4 linked regions of the Schizosaccharomyces pombe genome follow. The gene in region 4 interacts genetically with the main gene of each other region. Each region holds a gene or a part of one and is shown on either strand. Other genes may lie near its edges. The genes, in order: kap114, SPOM_SPAC644.09, gcn20 and caa1.

What was found.
Region 1: mutations in caa1 (region 4) and kap114 together harm fitness more than expected from each alone (negative genetic interaction), as found in Schizosaccharomyces pombe (one large-scale study listed by BioGRID).
Region 2: mutations in caa1 (region 4) and SPOM_SPAC644.09 together harm fitness more than expected from each alone (negative genetic interaction), as found in Schizosaccharomyces pombe (one large-scale study listed by BioGRID).
Region 3: mutations in caa1 (region 4) and gcn20 together harm fitness more than expected from each alone (negative genetic interaction), as found in Schizosaccharomyces pombe (one large-scale study listed by BioGRID).

The regions. Positions count from the first base shown.
Region 1 is NC_003424.3:2,372,502-2,378,198, forward strand, and holds kap114 (karyopherin/importin beta family nuclear import signal receptor Kap14), read right to left. Parts: upstream 4,052-5,697; 5' UTR 3,885-4,051; coding exon 3,779-3,884; intron 3,723-3,778; coding exon 1,501-3,722; intron 1,461-1,500; coding exon 1,291-1,460; intron 1,270-1,290; exon of another isoform or gene 1,244-1,269; coding exon 1,125-1,243; exon of another isoform or gene 1,083-1,124; coding exon 912-1,082; exon of another isoform or gene 876-911; coding exon 802-875; exon of another isoform or gene 763-801; coding exon 643-762; 3' UTR 551-642; downstream 1-550. Other genes in the region: ppa3 (protein phosphatase type 2A), read left to right, coding at 4,854-5,014, 5,081-5,151, 5,264-5,697. UniProt on the Schizosaccharomyces pombe protein: Required for nuclear protein import and mediates docking of import substrate to distinct nucleoporins. Serves a receptor for nuclear localization signals. Mediates the nuclear import of TATA-binding protein (TBP) and of histones H2A and H2B.
Region 2 is NC_003424.3:2,687,586-2,691,620, reverse strand, and holds SPOM_SPAC644.09 (pyridoxal phosphate homeostasis protein), read right to left. Parts: upstream 1,978-4,035; 5' UTR 1,919-1,977; coding exon 1,850-1,918; exon of another isoform or gene 1,570-1,849; intron 1,469-1,569; coding exon 1,349-1,468; exon of another isoform or gene 1,214-1,348; coding exon 878-1,213; exon of another isoform or gene 818-877; coding exon 629-817; 3' UTR 501-628; downstream 1-500. Other genes in the region: mediator complex subunit Med11, read right to left, coding at 1-157; utr4 (methionine salvage haloacid dehalogenase-like hydrolase), read right to left, coding at 2,723-3,304, 3,358-3,426; bcs1 (iron-sulfur protein assembly ATPase), read right to left, coding at 3,866-4,035. UniProt on the Schizosaccharomyces pombe protein: Pyridoxal 5'-phosphate (PLP)-binding protein, which may be involved in intracellular homeostatic regulation of pyridoxal 5'-phosphate (PLP), the active form of vitamin B6.
Region 3 is NC_003423.3:2,053,602-2,058,428, forward strand, and holds gcn20 (AAA family ATPase Gcn20), read right to left. Parts: upstream 2,842-4,827; 5' UTR 2,824-2,841; coding exon 613-2,823; 3' UTR 540-612; downstream 1-539. Other genes in the region: atp14 (F1-ATPase subunit H), read right to left, coding at 3,497-3,520, 3,567-3,757, 3,810-3,845, 3,894-3,939, 3,987-4,001; ort1 (carboxylic acid transporter), read right to left, coding at 4,662-4,827.
Region 4 is NC_003424.3:1,230,092-1,233,872, reverse strand, and holds caa1 (aspartate aminotransferase), read left to right. Parts: upstream 1-1,833; 5' UTR 1,834-1,855; coding exon 1,856-3,085; 3' UTR 3,086-3,233; downstream 3,234-3,781. Other genes in the region: SPOM_SPAC10F6.14C (ABC1 kinase family protein), read left to right, coding at 1-1,557. UniProt on the Schizosaccharomyces pombe protein: Plays a key role in amino acid metabolism.

The sequences.
Region 1 (5,697 bases), 1.1 Mb from region 4:
TTATGATTCTATGGTTGCACTGCATGCTTTTTACATATCCTTTGTTTTTAGTTTTCTTTTGACTATGGATTCCCTTGATTTTACGAAATAATCCCGTTCCTTTTTGTGACTTTTACCTTTCGGTAGCTTGCTGACCTGGTGTTTCTTGAATTTTTGCATAGATATACGGTGGCATATTTTAATGCCGATTTACCTAATTTTGTTCTTTTTCAGTCTTAATTATTTTCATATTGAAATGCTCATTTACTTGTGCCATATTAATCTCCAGATAAGACCTTATTTCATGCTCGTTTATCTGCACTTTGTTAATAATTACCATCATACTCTCTCCAATAAAATGGTAATTATTGGTATTATATAACCTTGTTTTTATGTTTATAATGAACTAAGTTTGTCTGTTTATTTTAATTTAAAAAATGTATCTTTTGAAAGAATTAATTTACCAACTTTATTCTTCATATACTTTAGTCCCTTTCAGCTTAAATAATCCTTTTGACCTTATACCTAGAGCCTTAAGTACTCTGAAAGGTATAATTTTACCCTACTTTCCTTTTAATGCACATGATATTAGTAAATGTTATAGTGCAAGTAAACTATTGGAAATCGTTCAGGTATTCTTGATTTTTTAAATCCTTTACACCTTTATTTTTCTTTAATTTGAACGAGCGCATCCTGTTCTTCCTGAGGTAGTCTAAAAACAACCTCGTTGATATTGTGCAGATTGCTTTTCATAGCTTCCTTAAAAAACTCTAGAAGATAAAACTAAAAATGTTAGCCCTAAAAACCAAAACTTTAACCCACCTGCAAATCAGTATTATCCTCATCTTCTGAATTGTCTACGCCAGAAAATTCATCTTTGGACAATTCGTTAACATCTATTGTTAGCCTTTTCTTTTAAAGGTCTCGCGTACCATTAGCTGATAGCCCAAACGTCTCTGCACTGATAGGACCGTCATCCCAATCATCCGCTCCATCATCGGAAACTTCTTCAACAATTGCATCTTTAGACAACGAAACAAATTCCTCTGAAAGTAGTCGCAATATTTTTTCTCCAACGCTTACATATGAATATTCCTCGGGATCTAGTTTTGGTTAATGAAAACTATCAAAAGCTTTTAACATACGAAGTTTAGACTGCGACCGGGTTATAATGCGATTAGAATGAGAGATAAGTTCACCTTTAACTTGAACTGAATCAAGTAGAGGACTGTCAAAAGAATAAATTTTAGTCATAGCAATACAACTTTCAGGTTAGAATTTATATAAGCATCAAATAATATAAGGACATACATTATAGAAATGTTTTTGAAGTTGCTAAAATAAACAAAGTTGTCACACCAAACGGTCATAAGTACTTCAAAAGCCGTTAGCCCTTGTTCATTTAATAAAGACGATGTCAAGAAGTGCATCATTCCCAAAGAGTCCTTAACAATTAATTTGGCAAAAACGTAAATTATACTCTAAATAAAAGTCAGAAACAGGTATTCAATAAGAACTTACTTGAATAAACCGTGGTTGTTCAGCTATTGCCAATCTCTTAATGCAAGAAAGAAGAATGGACTGAAGATCGACCATTTGACTTGCGTGATCAGCCAATTCAAGTAAGATAGGCCCAACTAAAAAGCAGGCGGAATCATCACTCTCTTTGTCAAGTAACTGATGCAAAATAAAAAGAATGTATTGAAAGCCACTACTACCTGAAATCTCCGTTTCCAATAATTGTGGTGTGTCCTTTTCCAAAAGCCCCTTAAGAATTTCCTGAGATAACTGAAGCAGTTCTGTGTCTCCAGAATGAATTTGAGTAATCTTATAAACAGGGGGCAAGACATATCCAACAAATCCATTAGGAAGTGGTGAAGGACCTGCACGAATCAAACAAGAAAGCAAGGTAGCCCCAATATTAACCATAATCGGGTCTTCTTGATTCAGGACCTGTAATAGTTCTGGCAAAGTAATTTCACACATACTTTCATAGTTATTTGCCGCATGGATAATGTCCTCAAAGGTGTCTTCAATAATTCCACAGATGTAAGGATCAGAAGCGTTCGTAGCAACCAAATTAAATAGAAGTGGAATAACAGAATTACCTAATTCAGCAGCCTTTGCACAATCAAGTTTTACCGCAGAAGAAATAGCTTCCACAAGTAATACAAGAGCTTCATCGCTTGACTTCGAAGCATACTGAGAAAGAACTTCCAAAATCATCGGCTGCAAAGAAAGTATCGGTTTGACTTTTCCGACTGAACAAAAGCGCTCAATAGCTTTCATAGCAGCATACTGTACAGTATCAACTTGTAAAGCATTAACCAAATTATTCATTATTATTTGGAAAAATTGAGAGGCTACTACGGTGCTTTCAGAGAAATATCCGATAAAGAGGAAAAACCTAGAAAGAAGTAAAATTGGAGCATCGGAGTAATCAATACGGACTTTGATAGCCTCGTATATGGGGTCCAAGTAATCATCATAAGTGTCATCTGAAGCAGCATCCACGGAACAACATGCATACAAGAGGGCTTCTTGATATATCCAATTGATTTCATTGTTTAATATGTAAGTCGCGGACATTTCTCGTAGACTTTGCTGGATTGGTAAAGTGGTATGCTCTTCAAATGCACTTAGTACGCTGATGGCGGCACCGCGAACCGTATCACTAGCAAAATCCATAGAAAATTCGTTTGCGATATATTCACTGACATCGCTTTCATATACTTCAATTTGATGCTTAGGTAGTTGCGTATATTGCACCAGAAGTGGAATGCAAGGAGGTAAAGGAGGTACGGGGACCGTATTACTGACAAACAAGTTTTGAACAAACTTGCTTTGCAAAGCTACAGAAACGAATAGCAGTAGTTCAACTAAATAACGAATAGGGTATTTATCACCAAATGCTGAATCATCTAAACCATCGCTAAAAACAACTTCTCGTATATATGGATCTAGTAACTTTTCTATAATATTCCAAACAAGTTCGACGAAGGTCACAACGTACGGTGTCAATTTAGAAGGAAACAATTCGCGAAGTTTTGTAAGAGTCATAGCAATTTCTCCCATGATACAAAAATAACCACAGGAATCAGGTAAAATAACTTGTCGATCATCAACGAGGGAAACTTCAAACTTGTGCGAGAACATATCCATCCAAGGGGGAAGTATTTGTTCAAGAAATACACGAACATGTTCAGCTTTCGTTTCTTTATAAATCTCAATAAGTTCTAGGCAAGAACGAAACAGTTTAATTCCTCTAGCTTGCAACATCCTCATGGAATCATTAGGGGGAGCGGAAAATATAAACTGATAGAGAATGGATGCAAGTTGAGGTGCAATAATAAAGAACTGTTCTTCAACAAGGGACTCATCTACAAGCTCGTCCAGAACATCCAGTGAAGCATTAATAGAGTTTTCATTAGTAGATTGTAAAAGATGCAGAACGGCCGGTACAACTTCTGGCCATTCATCGGGATAATCCACGTTTGCAATTAGAGAAACAGCATATGCCACAGCCTTGATTAAAGTGAAATTGTCAAGGCTCACTAAAAGATGTAATAGTGTTTCTCTGACATGTTTTTTGACATTTTCATCGGGTATCGGTCCATCTTGAAATTGCTCAAACAGTGGAGACCAATGGTGAACAATATATCTTTGTAAATAAATGAGAGAACCTTGTCTTAAAGGAACAGAAGCACCAGAAGATGCGATATCTGTTAACTTCGCAGCAAAATCTTCGTAAAAGATAGTTAGTAATTTTTTCGGTTAGTTTATAGCTTAAGTAGCATACCGTGATATTTCTCAAGGTCTCGTAACCCCAATTCGGCTTGTATTCTTGAATTAGGATCAGCAGATTGCACTTGTTCAAGCAGCTTAATGATTTTGCTTTCAACCATTTAGCGTGATAATAGACGTTAAACAATTGGTAGGTTTTGATGCTATCTGCTTAAAGAAAGTAGATAATAATAAATATATTTATGTACAGACGGGTATAGTTAACCCCTTAAAAATGGCTGTATTTAATAATTTTTTATGCAGGTATAATGCAGGTACTACTAAGAGTGAAATGTTACTAGGAAATTCATGTTCAAAGAAGTGGATGGTAAATAGGTGACATTGTCACTTAAATTGCTAATGTCTAACAAAATAGTGTTAATTGAAACAATAATTGCTTGTATTGTTGTTCATTTAAAAAAAAAATTAAAAAGAAAGGCCATGTAACTATTACTATTTTCATTCTTGATTTTCCTTATATTTTAATGTATTGCATAACTGAGTTTTTTAATGACCGACTGATCTTTGAATACAAGAATATACCTAATCAATTATCGCTTATTTTCAACCGAAATATTTATCTGATGGTCTGAAACGAGAGAAGCACTAAACCTTTTCAGCAGAAGAGACAGATATTCATATAGAATGTCTGAAAGAATTTTAACACGTTTTTCAAGCATTATGTAATTTTTGTTCTTTGGGTATACCATTAGAGGCTTTCTTAACTTAAAATCTCATTGGCGAACTACACAGTATTATGTATTAATCGTGTAGTTTCGATCACTGACAAGTCAGAAACCAACCTCCAAATTTCATAAAACTGACACATACAACATTTTAGTGGAATTTTTCTAATGCGTGCAAATAAAGAGAAGTAACGCGTAAGCTTTCCATATAAGAAGTGCTTAATCCTTTGTTTTTCGAAGCGTATCCGGTCAAAGCCGATTAGACTGATACAAACCTTGGGTGAAATTTTCCCTAGCCAAGCACTGTTTGTGTCTTCTTAAATTATATATATCCAATACAAAACGGTGCAAGACATTGTTTTTGTATTTTAATAAATCTCACTAGTTTCACGGAAATTCCTAAAGATGATTGACCTCGATAACATAATAGAGAGATTATATGAAAAACAATTGATTGCTGAGTCCGTTATTGCTTATCTTTGTTCTCTCGCAAAGGAAGTTTTAATGCAAGAAAGCAATGTTGTCAGGTTGTCTACTCCCATTACCGTGGTTGGTGATATTCATGGGTATGCATAGATTCAATATTGCAAAAAGTTCATTCTTTGTGGACATTCTGCTTACAAAGTATATAGCCAATTTGATGATCTACTTGAAATCTTTCGTATAGGAGGCCCATGCCCATACACAAACTATCTTTTTCTCGGTAAGTTAAAATGATGTTCATTAGAATCACATTAGCTGATTACTACAAATCATTAAAACTGAACATTGAGAACACAGCACATGCTTTATTATTCGTTGCTAACTATTTGAAGGTGATTATGTTGATCGGGGCTATTATAGTATAGAAACTATAACCCTTTTGATATGTCTCAAGTTACGGTATCCAAAGAGGATTACTCTTTTGCGCGGAAACCATGAGTCCAGAGGAATAACCCAAACCTATGGATTTTATTCAGAATGCTTAAGAAAATACGGTAATGCTAATGTTTGGAAATATTTTACCGATATCTTTGATTTCCTAACACTTTCTGCAACAATTGATGACACTATTTTTTGTGTTCATGGTGGACTTTCTCCTAGTATTCAGCACATAGATCAAATCCTTGTCTTAGACAGGTTTAGAGAATTCCCACACGAGGGACCTATGGCCGATCTCGTGTGGTCGGATCCGGATCCTAGCGTGCAAGAATTTTCACTTTCGCCCCGTGGTGCAGGTTTTTCTTTCGGTGAAGTTATTGTAACAAAA
Region 2 (4,035 bases), 1.5 Mb from region 4:
CCTCAAGAGAATTATTTAGTTGAATGGCTTCAATGCATTTTCCAGCTGAAGATAAAATGTCGGGGATCTTTGCTTCAAGTTCGAGGATATTTTGTACTTGCTGAGTATCAGAAGATGTTGATTTTTCACTAAAAAGATCGTCGTCACTATTAGTCATCGTTCAAATTTTGATAATTTATGTTATTGAGAGATTTATTAAATATCCAGTATTCACTCTCAATCGTACATTCCCGTCTATTCTTTAATAATTAGTTTGATTTATTAATGGAACGATTGCGCCTGCGTCCACAATTTCCAATAGCCAAAATAAATGAAAAGATATTAGAGAAAAGTGTAGTGCTGTGAAGTAAGTGCTTGCACTCGAATCTTAGCCATGTTGTAAATGAACGTATTAGGATTAATTGGTCATATATATTGGTACAATTTTTTCCTTAATTATAATATTATCTCTAAATTTGCTAAAAATTTATAGAATTGCAAACCGAGACTTTAAAAAATTTAGAAAAATGTATTTATTTTCAAATATCTAGTAACATCATCATTAAAGAAGCAAAAAATAAAATAATATATTTTAAATGAAAAAGGATAGCCAAAATTGCATTTTTTATCTATAACTCTACATCCGAACTCATTTCGATGCAGATATGTGAACATCTGATGGCTTTTCTGTCGGACGAGAACCAAATATGGAACTGCCAACACGAACAGAGTCGCTTCCATATTTTATAGCAAGGAGATAATCAGAACTCATTCCCATAGACAATTGTAAAGGGATACCGAGCTCATTTTGCAAAGACTCACGAAGATCTGAAAGAACCTGTACTGCGTTAGGAAGAGCAAAGATGAATAAAAAGGAAGAAAAAGGAAATAATCTTACCTGGAAATCTGGGTTGTGATCAGATAATTGAGAATTGGAAATAGAGCCAATAGTCATGAGGCCTTTGAGTCGCAAATATTTCATGTCTTGAACTTGCTTACAGAGTTCAAGAACTTTAGACGGAGTAACTCCTCCCTTGTTCTCCTCACCACTGGTATTTACTTGAATATAGACATTTAAGGGTAGTTGTAATGCCTCACGAGCGCTGTTTACCAAACGAGCCTTCTTTTCAGTATCAATGGTTTCAATACTGTACAAGTTTTTTACAGATGCAATTTTCTTGCACTTAGATGACTGTAAACTACCGATAAAATGCCATTGGACGTCGTCGGGCATCTATGGCACTGTTAGCCTTGTGAATGGAAATAAACAATGAGAACCACTTATTATCTAACTTAAAAAAGTGTTTTTAAAGATGGTAGGCATCAAAAAATAGATTACCGAAAACACATAATACATTCTAGCACTTACCAACTCTACTTTCTTTAGAAATTCTTGCATGTAATTCTCGCCAAAGTGCCTTTGACCAGCATTGTACGCTTCCATCAAGGTTTCAACAGGATGAAACTTGCTAACAGCTACAAGAAGAACCTAAAAGCCATTAAGGCAATTGTTAGTGATGGATAAAGCAGCAGGCGAAATTGGAAGATTTTTAGGGAATCCCAAAAATGTAAAAGTGAAAATATTCATTTTTTTAGATCTTTTCCTTCACCTCAGCTGACATAAACAACGCTATTTCAGATAAACCCATTTTAATCGAAGATATCTTTGCAACATTTTATTCTCGGCGAAGCATCATTTCCTTAAATATTATAAGCCTAAAAATAAAGTATTATATCGTCGAGTTAAATAAATCTTTCACGAAGCTTATTAGCTGAGCAGTATGACTTTATTCGCCTGGAGATCAGACATCCGAAATTCAATTTTACCAAGTACCCGAAAAAACAACCAAAATCACTCATACAAACTTACATTGCGGCCATTTGCAGATTGCTGGATTTGACTTCTAATTAAATCTAAACAGCTATGGATAGTACTCATGTTGAATGAAAGCTATTACTACTTTCTTAGTCAAATCCACCTGACAGTTAAATTACTCTGCTTAGGTCTCTTAGTTGAAATTGATTTTGAGTGATACAAAATGTGGGATAAAGAGTACTATATGGGGGTATAGCTATAGTCTCTTCTTGACTTTATTAACCTGGAGAAGCTTACAGAGAGTAATTGCTGATCAAAGTGGGAGGAAGAGGTACCAAATGGGGGTAATGATATTATATGTCACAGAAACAAGTAAATAAATAAACATTAATGGCTAAGAAACATTTAAAAAGAAATCACTAATAAAGGATTAATGTTAATTTGGCTACAAAACCGACGAATTGTAACCCATGTTGATTGACAAACCTCTCTTCTTTACAATGAGTACACAGGAGAGGAAAATATTAAACAAGAACGCTCTTTTTCTATTTTATCAAAAAAAAAAAAAAAATTCAGTTCAAATAGTTGATTGAACGAATGGAGAGTTTACAAGAGTGTTTTACTCAATGTTTAGATAATTGATACAAATATTCAATCATGGTAAAAAAGTTTCATAGTTAAAAAAGGTTTCTGAAACAATTCAAAAATCCATTGGGTTAAAAAAATTATAATAATTCAATATATTTTAAGAGAAGAAATTGCGTTGACTAATTTTCGGATGTATTCAAAGAAATCATGAAAAAAAAAACACAAAGAAATAGAAAATGAGAGCACAAGAGAATCAAAATTCTTTTAAAGAACTCATGTCCTTTAAAGAAACTCATTACTTTGTTCTAAGCGAAACGGTCGTTAGGGTTCACCATTGCTTTATTCCGTGAACAAAATTTCAAAACTATTGTACACGGGGAATCCACTGGTGTCTACAACAGGATCATTGCCAGGACGAACCACCAAACCGGTGTGCAACCCGACTTTTCTTGCAGCTTTCAACTCGTTGATATTGTCACTCAAGAAGAGCCATTCTCTAGGATTTGAGTTTCCCACAATTTTCACATAACTGCCACACTCAGTTTTAAGCCCTATAGTAGTATCGTAATATCCAGAGAAATACTTTAGAAGGTTTCCAGCATCTGAATGCTCGAAATACAATTTCTGAGCTGGAACACTCCCACTGGAGTAAATGTAAACACGCATTCCCAATTGCAAACTACGTTGAATAGCAGGAACAACATCGGGGAACAAGTGTGAAGTTAGTTCATTACTTTCATAACCTTTTTTCCAAATACGACCTTGGACCATTTTGAAGGAACGTTCTTTGCTTCCTTCAGCATGCAACTTTCGTAAATTTATCAAGGCCTCTTCAGGCGTTTTTCCAAGTTCTCGCAAGTTTTCATCACTTTCATAATTTTCATTAACATAACTTTCGTATCTTGAAGCAGCGTATGGAAACTAGCATGGGTTAAACACGATCTACATTGTTCTCAATAAAAAACTTCACTTACCAATTTGTCTTTGACAAATGAAATGCTACCCACAGTCCCTTCAATATCCAAGAGCAAATTTTTAACCATTTTTTGTAATAAAGAGATGCCGTACAACTCACTTTTCTTTTAGGACACAAGTTTTATGCAACTTTAAAGAAGTAAGATGTGCAGTAAGTAGGATTAGTACTTTGCGAATTCAGCTATGCATCACGTAAAATAATTTAAGATTACAATTGGAATTTTATTGGATTTTACTTTCTTAAACATATGGAAAAAGAATTTCAACAGCTTGCAGCTTTTTATTGAGAACATGCATTTGAATAATTATCTTATGCATGCCTGTCTTTTAGAATAGAAAATACGGACTAGTTATTTTTTAACCATTTTTTAAATTCATTAATTATTCATAGATTAATCGCGTACAATATATGTTTCTACCAAGATGTCTTTTTTTTGTGGTCAAGATTGATAAGTAGAGCTTATTACGAAACGAATAACATTTTAAGTTAAATAAATCTAAGGGATTTCATACAGACAAAGACTTTCTGTGTACGTTAAAGGAGAAAGGTGTACTAGGAGGATTATCAGGAAGCTCTTTAGCCATATCAACAGCATCAGCAGGTGAGCTCTTATTCATTACAAAAAGACCCTGCAATGAAGCCATACTTGTATTTTTTGGACACACTATATCACTTA
Region 3 (4,827 bases), on a different chromosome or scaffold from region 4:
GCTACTAATACTTCTACAAAGCGTCCTTTAACCTCTAATACCTATCCGTCCATTCCTCTTCCTCCAAAGTCTTTCACCTCTCAGAATTTTAAATCGTTCAACGCCGTCAAAACTCAACCTTCATCTTCCTCCTCTCCATCAATCTCTCGCCCTACGTCTTTTCCCATGTCCTTTTTTCCAAATCCTTCGAGGTTTTCTAGTCAAGTTCCTAAACGAATTTAATGAGTTAACTTTTTCCTTTCTCTTTCTTTTTTTGTTTACTAGTCTGTATATTCTTTTTTTTTCTGCTATTGATTTCCTTGGTCCGCCTTATTTTCTCCTCTTCTCCCCTTCCTCCTCTTTACTTTTTAATTGATTGGGTTTGTTCTCTTTATTTTTTGGGTGTTGGTTGATGATTTGCATGCTTTCCAGGTTTCTTGTCCATTACCGTGTTATGACTTACTTAGCTATAATTAATTTACTGTTTTAATCTTATTTAACACTTCATGTCTTTTACTGTATAAAATGTAGTTAACTTCGTTTACATATTTTATCCAGATTCATAGATAAAAGAATTTGATTTTATTTATCCTCGCCAGCTATATTATTATTATTTAAGTCTATGCTATTCCATTAAGTTTTTATAGTCATGGTTGGCTGTTGAGATAGACAGAATTTCTTATATTGTGAAATTGTTCCATCAAACTTGGAGACGACATTATGGTCACACTGCCAAATACTGGTACATGTCTTGTCCAAGAAATCAACATCGTGAGAAACAAGAATCACACCACCTTGGAAGCGTTTAACAGCTCTTGTCAAGGCATCCATGGACTCCATATCCAGATGGTTGGTGGGTTCATCTAGAATAAGAATGTGAGGGTTTTGTAGACCTAGGCATGCGAACGCAACACGAGATTTCTGACCACCAGAAAGCGTGATCATTTTTTGCAATGCAAGAGGTCCACTAACACCAAAAGCGCCAAGATGACGACGGTATTCTTCTTCACCTTTGCCAGGAAATGTCTTAGCTAAAAAGCTTAAGGCATTCAAGTTTAAGTCCAAAGTATCGACATGATGTTGTGCAAAGTATGCAATACGAAGTCGGGGGTGCCGACTAACTATACCAGATGTTGGATGAAGTTGTTCGATAAGAAGCTTAAGCATTGTTGATTTACCAGCACCGTTGGGACCAACCACACCGATACGAGAATCCATTTGAACATCAATATCAACATGTTTGAGAATAGGGTGACCTGGAACATACTCAAAATTGACATCAGACATTTGTAAGATAGGAGGAGATATTTTTTCCACAGGTGGAAATTCAAACTCAACTTCTTCCTCAGTTTGAGGCTTTTCAAGGATCGGCAGTTTTTCCAACTTCTTAATACGACTTTGTGCTTCGGATGATTTGGCAGCATTATAACGAAATTTGTCAATGAATGATTGCAAATGTTTGCGGTATTCCATTTGCTTTTCATATTCACGAAGTTGATTTTTGCAACGTTCTTCACGAGTAGCATAGAATTGACTAAAATTACCCTTATAGTAATCCAAGCGCTCAGAGTGTTGATGAATAATATCAGTAGCAACTTCATTCAAGAAAGAACGATCGTGTGAAACGACTAAAACGATATTTTTATAAGTTTGTAAATATTCAGATAAGAAAGCAATTGAGGGAACGTCAAGCATGTTCGAAGGTTCATCCAAAAGTAGTAAATCTGGTTGACAAAACAGAGCACGTGCCAATGACAAACGCATACGCCAACCACCTGAAAAAGTCTTGGTAGCATGGCTTTGCATTTCTTGAGTAAATCCAAGACCAGCTAAAATAGTAGCAGCGCGTGATTCTGCTCTATCAGAGTCCATCTCGGAAAGCTTATTTTGAATATCTAACAACCGTAAATCAAGTTCGTCTCGTTCACGCTCAAGGCGACGGGAAATAGCTTGATCAGCAGTTTGGTCTTTACTAAGTTCTTCCAATTCTTTTTCAATCGTTGATAGACGATTAGTTATCTTTTCCTGGTCCTGAATCAAATACTTGCGCCAAACATCGGCATCCAAAACTGACTGTAGGGCAGGTGTATCATCACCTGTCATTTCTTGCTCAACATGAAGAATGGTAATATGGGTAGGAATCGCAATTTCACGGCGAGAAAGAGCACGTAGAAGAGTAGATTTACCGATACCGTTGCGACCAGTTAAACCGTATCGTCTACCCTGTGCAAGTGTCAACGAAGCACCAGTCAATATACGATGACCAGCAAAAGCAAGATCAATTCCATCAATTTTAATATCTTTCGATTTTCCTTGGTTACTTCCGGATAAATCTAGAGGATTTACAGCCATGTAAAACTCTTCATAAGACTTTTGTTCGGGTTGAACCAACTTTGAAGATTCGTATTCTGCTTTGATAGTACGTTTCTCCCATTTGGCACGAATCTTCCGTTCAGCCTTCTCTAATTTTCTTCTATCTACCCTAGATTCAACCTTACGGCCCTTTACAGCATCTAATTCCATCTTTTCGCCAACCAAACCCATAGTTGACGAAATTTCGGATTGGGAATCCATTCGAATAGTCTCCTTCAAACGAACAAGTCCATTCGTTTGTAATGTATCTAGATGTTCCTCTCTTTCTTTAAATTGTTTCTCTAGTTCGTTTTGTATGAGCTGTACCGCTTCCTCACGAGCGCCAGCATCTAGCAATAAATTACGAATGAGAGAGATCGTATGGTCTGAAGCCTCATCTACATCTTTAATAGCATCATTAGCATATCCAGTGCAGTAGCTGAGGACATGAGGGTCTACTTCAGAGCAATTATTCTGAATGACTTGCTCCATGTTGGATGTGAGGTGGATAGTACTAAGCAAGTTATACTACTGCTATATATGAAGCCTCAATCGGCAAAACGATGAGACTAGGCATGAAAATATACTAAATACCTTATAATAGTGAATTATATATTTTTTTAAGAAAAAAAATTACAATTCCAAGAAAACTACTGTGAACTTTACTGATATTTTTAATGACCCACAGTAGACATCAAATTTTATCAAGCTAATCCTTATTGTTGAATAAAAGCAATTGTATTGAGTTGATATAAATTGAAAAAAAAAATCCAAATGTGAACTCAATAGAAATACTTTGCAAAGAGAAAAACATCTCAACTCAATGAAAGTGGTTTTCTATCAATCAAGGCAACAACTGTTTCGTGCCGTAATCGAAGAGACGACTAAGCATTGAATTCAGCTATGTTCAAAGACATTTAGAAAGCAGAAAAAGGATACGTTAACCTAGAATATAAATCATAGTGAGACGGGAGTTATAGAGATACATCCACGTTCGTGGTCAATCAAAAGAAGGATCAGACAAAGGCATGAAATAGATATAAAATCAAATCTCAACGACGTAGATGAAAATGTAAATTCATAATCGGAAAATAAAAGGCAAAATTTAATCAAAGTTAATTACCAAACATCTTCCAATTGAGCATAGGAAAAGCAGTGAATAAATTTAATGTTCTTTTTCATTCTCATACTGAAGGAAAAGTTAGCTGATGCAATGTAAAGGAAGAGATACATACTGATTCAAGAAAGTCAAATTTGTTGCTTTCTCCAGCAGCCTTAGTGGGAATGGTTTCTCCCTCATACTTGTAAGAGTTTAAAGCAGAAGTAAAGTCAACATCGTATTTTGGAGCAGTAGGAGCGCTAGGCATGGACCATTCCTTTACTTCAGCTGCCGTTTCGGAAGGGACAGCTTTAGGCTTATATGATTCTAAGACACGACGTGTAAGAAATTGGTAAATTAAGAGAATATAATAACATACTTAAAGAAGAAATATATAAACCCTGTACTACATCGACTAAATTGCCATTAGTAATCTCATCAAAATCAAAATGTCATTTCATACCGTAAAGACGAGGGGAGGTGGTCGAATAACTACGACTTAGTGATTTCTATATATTAGCTCCTAAATTCTTAAAAAAAGCAATGTATAACGTACCAAAATTCGAGACATTGTTCTTCCTTCACAATATATGTGGATGGTAGTGGTAACTCACTTAGGTAGCATGTATTGAGTAAGAAAGCCAGCATTGTCCGAAAGTACATTAAACATACTAAATCTAATAGCTAAAGTTTTAAATGCCCAAATAAACAATCGCTGAAATAGAAGGACTATTAGTCTCAAAAATTTCATCCAATTTACACCTCTACCAAAAATCTACAAAACAAAATTCAACTATACAAGAAAAAAAAGCGTAGGTACATACAGATATTGAAAGAGTTGGATTAACCAAAACAGGACGTAAAAAGCAAAACAAAACAAAAAAAAACAGGGAAAAGAGGAAAAGAAAATATACTTTCAGATTGAAACGGTTAACTCGTGAAATGTATAACAAGTTCAGTGGAATTACTGTCAAACTAACAGCAGCACATGATATGAAAAGTGATGAGAGGGGAGTTTTTGAAGGTAAAAATGCTTTTAATAAAAAATAAATAGCATCAAAAAAATTGTAAAAGTATTCCATGGGACTTTAAATATATACGACAAAACCAGTTCTAAAATGTGATTAAACTTCAACCGCAAGTCGAATGCAAGTTAAAATATGTATAGAAATGCATTCCGACGGGTTATCGACTCAATGGACAACAAAGACTTCGTAAAACTAGAATAAAACTATTTGCTTAATACTTTAGTTTCCCGAAATAATTCAAAAAGCGTAAAATTGCAAGAATTTATAAGAGCGCTTCGCATCAATGAAATACCTATACCTCGATATATAGTAAACGATAACCAAGGAATGGAAGACAAAGGGGTTTTAATTGATAAGAGTGTATTTCTT
Region 4 (3,781 bases):
TTCATTAAGCGATCAAAGACATATGCTGATGTACGTTATAACAGTCAAGCATTGCAAAATCATGGAGTTCCTGGTAACAAACGTAAATGGATGAAGAGGTTCGTATTTGTTGGTGCTGCTGGAATAGGTGTCTACGCTTGGGATCGAGTGTATAATGCCCATGCACTTACCCGTAGTATTAGAACAGTATACACCGCTTCTATAATTGCGGCTGACTATAAGTTGAATTTCAGCGAAAAAAAGGCAGACAAAATTGATGCTTTGCACCAAAGAGTAGCACAGAGACTGTTTAAAACGATTTACAAAAATGGCGGTTTATACATCAAGATGGGTCAAATCATTGCTATGCAATCAAATAATTTGCCTGAAGCGTATGGGAAAGCCTTTCAGGGAATGTTTGACAATGCACCTCAAGTTGAATGGGAAGAACTTCAAGACATATTCAAAGAGCAATATGGAAGACCAGTAGAGGAAGTATTTGCCAGCATTGAGAAACGTGCTGCTGCAAGTGCCAGTATTGCGCAGGTACATCGTGCTGTTTTACCTAGCGGTGAAAAGGTCGCGGTAAAAATTCAAAAACCAGATGTTGCTAAGCAAATGTCGTGGGATCTTCTCGTGTACAAATACATGATGTATGTTTATGATAAATGGATATTTCATATCCCTCTCTACTTTACGGTTGATTATGTCTCGGAAAGATTACGTTCTGAGGTTGATTTTACAACTGAAGCTAACAATTCGGAACATGCTCGTGAAGGGGTAGAAGAAACTGATTATTTAAGAGATAAGATATATATACCAAAGGTTTATAAAGAGATTTCTGGAAAGCGAGTAATGGTTACTGAATGGGCTGATGGCATTCCCCTCTATGATCAAACTGCTCTTTCTGAAGCTGGGATGAGCAAAAAGGAAATTTTAACGAACCTTTTCAGATTCCTTGCCTTCCAAATGTTTCATTCGAAACAAGTTCATTGTGATCCACATCCTGGAAATATCCTTGTTCGAAAAAATCAAGCAGGCTTGTGTCAAACGGTAATTTTGGATCATGGGTTATATGTATTTGAATCAGAAAAGTTTAGAAAAGAATTTGCCTTGCTTTTCACTGCAGCCTATTCATTAGACAAAAAATCTATTCTTCAGGTAATGGATGCTTGGGGGATTGGACAACCTGAGCTTTTTGCTAACCGCATGTTAAATATTCCAATGGATGAAGAGCAACCTCACACTGGTGAAAAAATTATTTCAAAGAAAGAGGCCTTCCAACAGCAGCTTGCTGAACGCAAAAAGTTCATTGGCTTCTTACAGGACTGCACTCGTTTACCGAAAGAGCTGTTAATGCTAGGTCGCTGCTTAATGCTTATTCAAAAAAATAACCAAAATTTTGGGTATCCAGTGAATAGTATAGCTGTTATGGCCAAGGTTGCTGATAAATACACTACCGACAAACCTAGTCCAACTTGGTATCAACGGCTGTTGTCGCCTATTTTTTGGGTCTTTCAACATTTATTTTACCCTGGAAATTTTCGGTTGCCTGAACTTACTAATGATAAAAAATGATATTTATAGTAAAGATTACTTTTCTTTATGGAAAGCCAATCTTTGACCATAATAATATAACTTCACATATTGCCTACTTTTCTCGATAAGACACTTCAGAGCTCCTCCTTGTAAAAGTTAAGCTCCTCCCTATACGAGTCAAACTTTGTATCGTTATTCACTATTACAGTACATCAAGCTCGGTATCTTATATGTCAATGAAGTATACTGATAATATAGTGATACTAAACCGAGTGATAAATATATATATATAGTAGATCAGTAAGGTTGAAATCTACCTACCGCATATTTAACCACAATGTCAGACTACGGGTTTGCAAATATTGAGGAAGCTAAGGCAGATGCAATTTTTAAATTAAATGCTCAATACCATCAGGATGAAGATCCCAAGAAGGTTAACATGAGTGTTGGCGCCTATCGTGACGATACTGGTAAGCCTTGGATTTTGCCTGCAGTTAAAAAAGCATCTAAAATAGTGGAAGAACAGGCAAGCTTCAACCATGAATATTTACCAATTGCTGGATTGCCTCGTTTCACTAAGGCTGCGGCTGAAGTTCTTTTCAGACCCAATCCTCATTTATTGTCCGAGGACCGTGTTGCATCTATGCAGTCAGTCTCTGGTACTGGTGCCAATTTTCTTGCTGCTAGTTTCATTGAGACTTTCTATGTAAAGCACACTGGAGCCCATGTATACATCTCCAACCCTACTTGGCCTGTCCATCGCACTTTGTGGGAAAAATTGGGAGTCACTGTAGATACATATCCTTATTGGGATGCCAAGAATAGATCTTTTGATTACGAAGGCATGCTAAGTACCATTAAATCTGCTCCCGAAGGAAGTATATTTTTACTTCATGCTTGTGCTCACAATCCTACTGGTATTGACCCCACTAGGGAACAATGGCTTTCTATATTCGAGAGTCTGCTTTCTCGCAAGCATCTGGTAGTTTTTGACATTGCTTATCAAGGTTTTGCCAGTGGTGATCTGAATCGTGACTCTTGGGCTCTAAACGAGTTTGTCAAATATAACAAGGACTTTTTCGTTTGTCAGTCATTTGCTAAAAATATGGGTCTTTATGGTGAACGTACTGGTTGCATGCATTACGTTGCAAAGGACGCTTCCACTAAAAACAAGGTCTTATCTCAATTGTGTATTGTTCAACGTAACACCATTTCTAACCCTCCCGCTTACGGTGCACGTATTGCTGCCGAAATTCTTAACAGTCCTCAATTGTTTGCTGAATGGGAACAAGATTTAAAGACTATGTCTTCTAGAATCATTGAGATGAGGAAACGTCTTCGCGATTCTCTTGTTGCACTCAAAACCCCCGGTTCTTGGGATCATATTACACAACAAATTGGAATGTTTTCTTTTACCGGTTTAACGCCTGCACAAGTCCAATTTTGCCAGGAGCGGTACCATCTTTATTTCAGTGCAAATGGTCGTATTTCTATGGCTGGTTTGAACAATTCTAATGTAGAGCATGTTGCACAGGCATTTAACCATGCTGTTCGCGAGTTGCCTTAAACTGATTATTAATACCAAAGTCACATAGATAAGTATTGGATTCATGAATACAGAATTTTGGATTGTTGTAAATTTGACGAATTTAGGAACAAATTCTTTAGCAATTTAGAGAACTAGTATATGCATTTATTCTTTGAATTTTTGAATAATATGAAGTTATCTGTTCAACTCATACACCGGGACTTCTCCTTTGTGAGTTAGACATCAGTATTTGGCTCATTATTTGCAAAACAAGTTGATATCAGTTTGTAATCGGATATGTTTAGACAAAACTGAGAAAGAGTTCTTTTTTAATAATTCATAACTTGCAAATTGATTAATGACAGAGTATTTGAATTCTTTGTTATATCGAGGTTTACTACATTAATATAATACAACTTTTAGCAACTATTAGAGCCAATACAAAGAAAAGAAGTCAAAACTTAAGTAATACAATATGAGTATGATTTTCTTTGTTTTACTTCCCTATTGTGTCAACTATAATTTTAAGCAGGAAATTTTGAAAATATCCTAATAACTCGAAAACCAGGCTAAAGCAAGGAATATCCCTCTTTGCATAAATTTTATTTCTTCTCGTGTCTTTCCTCCAATAATTAATAATTATAACATCTCTAAATGTGTATGAGTTAGTTTGTTAGGACATTTTGACTCAATAATTCTTCTCGATAAATTTAATAAAGAAAGTTGAATTCACAT